Alligator mississippiensis: one gene and its partner. The protein of the gene in region 1 purifies or fractionates together with the protein of each later gene. This does not show direct contact. Links are inferred from orthologs where the notes say so. Each region holds a gene or a part of one and is shown in the gene's direction. Other genes may lie near its edges.

Evidence for each region.
Region 2: the proteins of CASP3 (region 1) and CRYAB purify together in Homo sapiens (affinity purification with western blotting; 3 studies listed by BioGRID). This does not show direct contact. The link is inferred for Alligator mississippiensis from reciprocal best matches to the Homo sapiens genes CASP3 and CRYAB.

The regions. Positions count from the first base shown.
Region 1 is NC_081825.1:71,032,079-71,035,824, forward strand, and holds the start of CASP3 (caspase-3), read left to right. Parts: upstream 1-928; 5' UTR 929-1,278; intron 1,279-1,333; exon of another isoform or gene 1,334-1,439; intron 1,440-1,641; exon of another isoform or gene 1,642-2,818; intron 2,819-3,746. UniProt on the Homo sapiens protein: Thiol protease that acts as a major effector caspase involved in the execution phase of apoptosis. Following cleavage and activation by initiator caspases (CASP8, CASP9 and/or CASP10), mediates execution of apoptosis by catalyzing cleavage of many proteins.
Region 2 is NC_081839.1:31,678,532-31,682,277, reverse strand, and holds the start of CRYAB (alpha-crystallin B chain), read left to right. Parts: upstream 1-885; 5' UTR 886-1,109; coding exon 1,110-1,307; intron 1,308-3,746. UniProt on the Homo sapiens protein: May contribute to the transparency and refractive index of the lens. Has chaperone-like activity, preventing aggregation of various proteins under a wide range of stress conditions.

The DNA.
Region 1 (3,746 bases):
GCAGGAACACTGAAAAACAAACACCAGCATCATTATAAACCAGCCTGACTTTTGTCATTTTCACCCAGCAAAATGCCCTCTCTCTCAAAACTCTTTAAAGCGCGCATGGCAGTTTCTACAGGAGTTTTATCACAGACACACAAGACCTGTTCCTGCTACCATTAATTGATTTGTTCCCCTTTCCCCTCGTACATCTTTTGTTTTGCATCATTGCTTTCTTTCCCCTGCTTCTTCACACCCCTCCTCTTCCACTTCGGATTCTCTCTCCCCGACTCAGTATCCCACCGAGATTACTCAGCCGGGACATCAACAGAGCGAAACTAACTCAGGGGTGGGCAAAATATGGCCTGCCAGGCCATTCTATCCGGCCTGTGGTGACCCTAAAAAATTTAGAAAATTAGTATTTATCTGCCCCGGGCTGCCTGTCATGCGGCCCTCCATGGCTTGCCAAAACTCAGTAAGTGTCCCTCCACCCAAAATAATTGCCCACCCCTGAACTAACTCCACACCCTGCCCTCTGGACAATTACAGGCCAGGTCCACAAGGAGAATGTCAGTATTTAACCCTCCCCTTTATGCCCTCACTCATGTCCAGAACAACATCCTCAGAAGGGCCCGTCTAATATTACAGACACCTTAACGCCCTAGAAATGCTACAAGTGCCCATTTCCACCAGCAAAGTCTCCCAGGCATGCAAACTGAGGCTGGCGAGCACGCAGCCACCTGTCAGTACTTTCCAGACTTCCTCAGGTCACGGAAACCATTGGTGCTCCTCCTGCTGCTGCCCAACTCCTACCCCCTCCCTAAGGACCCATGCTCCAATGATGCCCCCATGTCTGGGGAGGACACAACAACCTACAGGAGACACCAGGGCATGCACCCCCTGGCTTCCCCTGCACCCAATGCACGGTGGGGGGGGGCACCTTTTTGGCAGGCGAGTCACAGGCCGCGCCCTGACTGATCCCCTGCTCCCGCCCTGTCTGCCGCTCCGCTTGCTGCTCCCTGCCGCGTGGGGCAGAGGGAGGCCACGTGCAGTGCCAGCCCTGCAATAGGTGCCCCAGGCACGACCCCGGCCCGGTGACGGGTTGCGGGACACCGCGGCCCTCCCACAGCGGCACCCCCTCAGCCCCACTCCCCGCGCTGTATGGGTGGGGAGCCGCCGCAAAGGCTGCTGGGAGCCCCCCCCTCGCGCTTCGAACCCGCCGCGCGGGGCGGGGCGGGGCGGGGCTTCGGCTTCTCTCTGCAGGCGGCAATCGCAGCGGGACCAGCAGGGCGGCAGGTCAGTACCACAGCGCGGCGCCGGGAGGGGCGGGGAAAGGGAGGGGGGATTTCACCCCGTGGTGCTGCTCTTGCGTCCCGTGCGAGGACCCGTCCTATCGCCGCGGGGGGAGGGAGGTGGCGGCGCGGCCCCGCCGGACAAAGCCTGCGCCCGAGGCGGGGCACCAGGCGGCGGAGCCTGCGCGGACTTGGCGGCGCCGCCCCAGCCCCGGCTTTAGTGCTCAGCCTCGTCCTCCGCCCCCCGCTACTCCGCGTGGTCGAGACCCGGCTACCCAGCGCGGCGGTCCCCGCTGGCCCGGGCACTTGGCAGTAGGGAGTGGTGCCCGTTCCTCCCCCGCCTCCTGAAGTGCCGCTGTAGAAACACCGTTTGAGTGAGGTTGTACCCCTCACTGGTGCAGGAACTAGGCAAGAGGCAAGGATTTATGTGGGTGGAGTCTTGTACTGGACCCCGATTTGGTTGGGAGAGACTTAAACAAGCTTTTGAACGCAGTTGGAGCTGGGTGTTGCTGTTGAAGTGTCCCTGCCCGGCTCCCTGCAACTGCTGCTTTGACTAGTCCTGTGCCCTTTCACTTCCACATGTCCCCTCTTCCCCTGGTGGCCACTGTATTCAGCAGCTCAACTAGGTCTGTCCCGACTGAGCGGTTACATCGTGGTTGGGGCACTAGCAGGAGTCTGGACACCAGGTTCCAGAACAGCTCTTCTGCTCATGCGGCTCGTGCAGCCAGCCAAAAAATGCCAAAGATTTGGTGACATGCTCAGGCAGCAGCACTTTTCAAGCCAGGGAAGGACCCAGCTGTCCCAAAGAGCTTCAAACTTGTCTCTCTGCTATACCACACATACAGATTATACGGCTAGCTGATGCTGAACTGGCTTGTCCCATACGTAAATAAATGCCTGATCCCCAAACAGGGCAGCCTTCGCCCTGGAAAATCAACACCAAGCCAGCTGCTTATTCTGACTCAAGATACTGAGGATGGTTTTGAAAGAGGCCAAATCACCAGAGCTGTGTTTATCAACCTAACAGCCATCTACGATATAGTTAACCACCAGTTCCTCCACAAGACCCCGGAAATGACAAAAGATCTGTGCCTTACAGAACTGATGTGAACCCAGCTCAAAAACACTTTTTTGCCAAACTGGATGGGAAGTGAAGTAGATGGAAGTGACATTAATGGCCTCCCCCAAAAGAAGCATACTTGCACCACTGTTGTGGAACTTGACCAGCCAATCAATTTGGAAACAAGGTTTCATCTGTTCAGACAACCTGCCCATAACAAGCCCAAACACTAACTTTGACAATGTTGAAAAATCCCTTACGGAAGCACTAGTTGGCCTAACTTCATACTACACTGAAAACCAGTTATATATCAACCCAACAAAAACACAACCATGTATGTGCCTTCTGTCTGAAAAACAGTGAGGCCAACCACCGACCGGCTCAGCATTGGATGTCCGGGACCCCACTATCCCACTGTCCAAATCCAGTTTACCTTGGAGTCACCCTCGATCAAACCCTCTCATACATGAAGATGAAAGCAAAGGTGAGTACTCAGAATAACATTCTGCATAACTTCACCAGCTTGAAATGGGGAGTGAGCCCCTCAACCACTGGAAGCACTGCTCTGGCTTCCAGCTTCTCTGCTGAGTATGCATGCCCTGTACTAAGCACCTTGACCCTATTCTGAACGATAGCTGCTATCACAGGATGTCTGAAGCCTACCAGGATAAACAGGGCTAGCTGGCAATGCTCTGCCTGACATCAGAAGAATAGTGGCCTGCAGGATAGAATCATCGAGACAAACTGAAGATGTGAGATGCCCACTGTATGACCATCCCGCAATACCCAAACATCTGAAATCACGCAGGAGCTTCCTCACCAGCACCCATCCTCTCAATGCCACGCTCAAGGAGACAAGACTACTACACATGTGGAACGAAAGGCTGAAGAAAGTACCTGACAGCGGAATAAGGGCATTCCAGCAGCCGAGTCCTTATCACCAGGGGCTGATGAAACATGGCAAAGGTGGCAGAGTCTCAACCGCCTACGTACCAGAGTTAGGTGCTGCAAGATACTAATGAAGAAGGGGCTATACCATCGGTTCAACCATCTCTGACTGCGACAGAGAGCTTCAGATTATGCAACTCCTGCTGTAATGTCTGCTGTTTGCAGGCACGTGTACAATGAAAGACCTCATAAAGTACAATAAATGAGCATGAGCATGTGTAACAAAATGGTCAAAGGTGGTGTAGAGACATGAGAGGAAGATGACAACCAAGCAATTGGTCCAATAAAAGATACCACCCACATACATCCTTGACTCTGACATGGAAATAGTAAGTTTCTGCAGCCCCCATGGTTTCCATCAAGGTCCCTGTCCAAGGTATTGTCAACCTGAACCTGTTAGGAAAGAGGAGTGTGCTGGCATTTATGTCAGGTTGCAACCCTTGACCTATGCCTTGTGGTTTCTT
Region 2 (3,746 bases), on another chromosome or scaffold:
GGCCCAGTGTTTGTACAGCACTGAGCACACGGGGACGCTGTGCTGTGACTGGGGCTTATAGGCCCCAGTGCACACCAATGGCCCAAAGGACACAGGGGTCCGTTCATGCAGCAGGTTTATCCCCCCCTCTCAGCCAGACTGGACAGAGGTCTCCCTGTGTCTGGCTTGTCGCCGCTCTCCCATGACAAGGCTTTAGTGCTGGGAGGGGGCTGGGTGCTGGGCGGACTCGTGGGGACGCTGAGCTGGTCTCGTTGCCCCCAGGAAAGCGAGAGGCAACAGCTGCCAAGGCTCACACCCTGCCCGCTCCCCTCCCGCCTCCCCTCACCCTTACCCAGGGCTTGCCGCTGCCTGCAGAGAGCCGTGTGGGTTGAGGGCCAAGGCAGAAGTGTGGAAGTGCTCAGGGGACATTTGGGTGCTGACCCCTTTGTCATCCTGATTTGCAAACAGACACGGAACGGGCTGCAGGTGACAAGACCCGTGCAAGCTGCAGAGGGGCAGGACCCCCCGATTGGCAGGGTAGGACCAGGCCTGCTGCAGCTGGGGCAAAAGGAGGGACAGACCGGCACTGGCTGGGGGCATCAGGGCTCACAGGTGTAGCTGGAGAGGGACAAGTCCCGCGGTGAGCCAGCCTCCACCCATGGAGCAGCAGAGCTGCCTTGCATGTGTCCCTGGGACCCAAATTGCAAAGCCCAACAGGAAAGACAACAGCCCCTTGTCGCTTCTGCGTGAGCCAAAGATAGGCGCTGCACTGATCCTCCTGGCATCTGAAGCAGCTGGAGCCGTGGCCGGGCTGGCGAGGGCTCTGCTGATAAACAAGGCGTGGGGGGGCCAGGAGGCTGGCCAGCCGGCCTCGGCTTCTTGCTGACCCGTGAGACCAAGTTCTCTTTTTTCCCCCCGCCTCGGCTCCTTAATCCAAATCCCCCAGACAATGGCCCGGCCAGTGCTGAATGGCGCAGACGGGAGCAGGATGATAAAACTCCTGACATCATTGTTCCAGAGAGTTCAGCAGGAGGCGCGCCCAGGACAGCTGGGGCTATAAAAAGCCCTCGTGCACCGGTCCCAGCACAACTCAGCTGCAGTCGCACTCCCGCTTCCCCCAGCCAAGGCAAATGGATGTCTCCATTCACCACCCCTTGCTGCGCAGACCCTTCATGTCCTTGTTCACCCCCAGCCGCATCTTCGACCAGAGCTTCGGGGAGCACCTCCTCGAGTCTGAGCTGTTCCCCACCTCCTCCAGCATCAGCCCCTTCCTGCTGAGGTCCCCCTTCCTGCGGATGCCCAGCTGGCTGGAGACAGGGTTCTCCGAGGTAACGCTTCTCTCTTGCCGCGCTTTGTGGTCTGCTGCTGGCTCTGCACCTGGGGGAGCCTGGGACGGCGGGACTCATTGCAGAGTCAGGAGCTGTTTCCAGGGAGTGATTTGGGGGGCAATGGGGAGAGGGCAAGCTGGAGGCACCAGGGCTGATCCTCCACATCAGGCAGGAGCAGCTGTGCAGACCTCTGGGTTCCAGCTGCGGTGCGCGGGGCAGGGAACAGTCATCTTATAAGATGCTAATTAATGGTAATTAAGCATTCCATTCCCTTGTGGATGTTGGCAATTGGTACTGTAGCCGTGGGTTCAAGGGGCAAGCAGCAGGGAATGTGGGAGTTGCGGTCCCTTCTCCTAGCTGCTAGACCAAACTTGCTCCCAGAGGAAGGAAGGACCCCAGAAGACCTAGAGACCCTTTCGGACATGCAGCAGGTGGGAGGGTAGCGGTGCTGTGTTTATGCGTGGACCCCTCATCCACATGGATTTTGTAGACTAAAGGCCAAAGGAAAACCCCTTGTGCAACTCTTTCCCTGGTCCTGGACCATCACCTTCCTGCCACCCCTGGAACGGGGGCAGGAACCAGTCTGCCACTGCCCCTGCCCTGCCCTTGACTGGGCTGACTGCTCCTGGAAGGACACCGAGGAAGGTCAACTCTCCCCGGCCTCTCGGAAAGTCAGCAGGACCCCGGAGCCCACAGCAGGGGCCTGCAACATGTCTCAGAGGCCGGGAGGCTGCTCCTAATGCCCCGCTGGTGCCAAGCAATCACACGGATCCTGGGGGGGACTCAAAGTGAGGTCCTCCTGTTGGGCATCACATCCCCCGGTGCAAAAATGCACCTGCCATCCAGCCTCAAGTCACTGCTAGGGCAGATGTTCTCAGAAGATCTGCGCCAGGGAGCAGGGATGGGCTTTGGGGCTGGACGAGTCGGAGCGAGAGGCTTATTGAGCAGGTGCCTGCCCTGCTCCAAGGATGTGCCAGCCGTTGAGTCCCCCTCCCTGCCCCTTTGCTTCCTACACAGTCTGGTTCACACGGGGAGGCAGTGGGCAGCTTCCTTGCTCCGTGCCGCCCTGCCTGGCACAGCTGAGGCTCGTGCCCCTTCCTTCAGAGCCCTGTAAGGGGCAGGTGAGACCGTCCCCAGCGACCAACACCCCCTGCTCACAGGGCTGGCACCAGGGAGGTGTGGGGCTCCTACCAGGGGGATAGCGTGCAGTGGGAAGGGGGCAGCTGATGCCAGCTCCTTTGTGGCAGCGTCCTGATGCCAAAGGGCCACAGGACAATGAGGAAGCAGCTCCTTGGTTCCCACCGGTCGCTGGCAGCTTCCTCCTCCCAGCTCAGCTCAGAAGAGCATGGGACTCCTGCCAAAGCCTCTCCAGCGAGACATCAGTGCCAGTTATGCAGAGACGCTGGCTGCGTTATTTGTAACCTAGGGATGGGGAAGTTCCTTCTCCAACCTGCCGCTCAGCCCAGGGCTCCTCTTCCCCCTTGATCTCGTCTTCCCAGACAATTCCCCCTTGCTCTCCAGCATCCCCGAGCCCCCGGATGATGCTGCCAAGAGCGGCATATGCCTCCTGTCAGCTGGGTTGAAATTCCTCTCAATGTGCCCGTCCATGAAAAGGTCCCATTTATCGCGCCAGGTCCTGCCTTGTGGAGTGGGAGGTAAAAGCAGCTGCTGGGATCACAGGACCTTGGCTGCGACACCCTGGAAAGCTGGTAAACAGCAGGCCTGATTCTTCTCAGACCGGGGAGGCAGGGGTGGCTCTGCTGGCGTTAGGGGGTAACGGAGACAGCAGAGCCCTGTGTGGCTTTGGCAGCAACTCCAGGGTGCGGAGGAGGAAAGATAGTGGGATCATTTGAAAAGCTGGTGACAAACCTACCTAGCATGATCTGAAGGGGACGATGCCCTCTTGCAATACCACATGAAACAGCACATTGCTGGCTTAAAAGCTGCTGCTTCTTTCTGGGGCTGGTCCATGGAAAAAGGGAGTGCCCAGTGCATCGGGCCCCTGGTTGCAGGTAACCCCTGGGATTTCTCCAAGTGAAAGAAGGTGGAGGTGTGACGCAGCGGCTCTGATGGAGCTGGACCACCTTCTGCATGTCCCAAAACTCAGACACGGAGGGACCAGGTTTTCAAGGGGGGTCTTGTTCAAACACTGACCGTTACAAAGAGAAATCCAAAGCCTGAGAAAGCCACAGGACTCCAAAGGGAGCAAATAGCTTGGCTCAGAGTGAGCCTAGAGCCTGAACACGTGCCGATGGAGCAGGAGGCACATCCACCTGCTGGGAAAGGGAAAACAAAAATGAAGCAGGCAGGAGGGAGGAGGACGGCCGGGCTCGGTGGTTCGGTTCCAAGAGTGAAGCCGAGCAAGCATCCCTCCAGCCCCTGCGAAGCTGAGACAAAACAGCATTCCCTACCATGGGTAAAGTGGGAGATGCAAGCCCA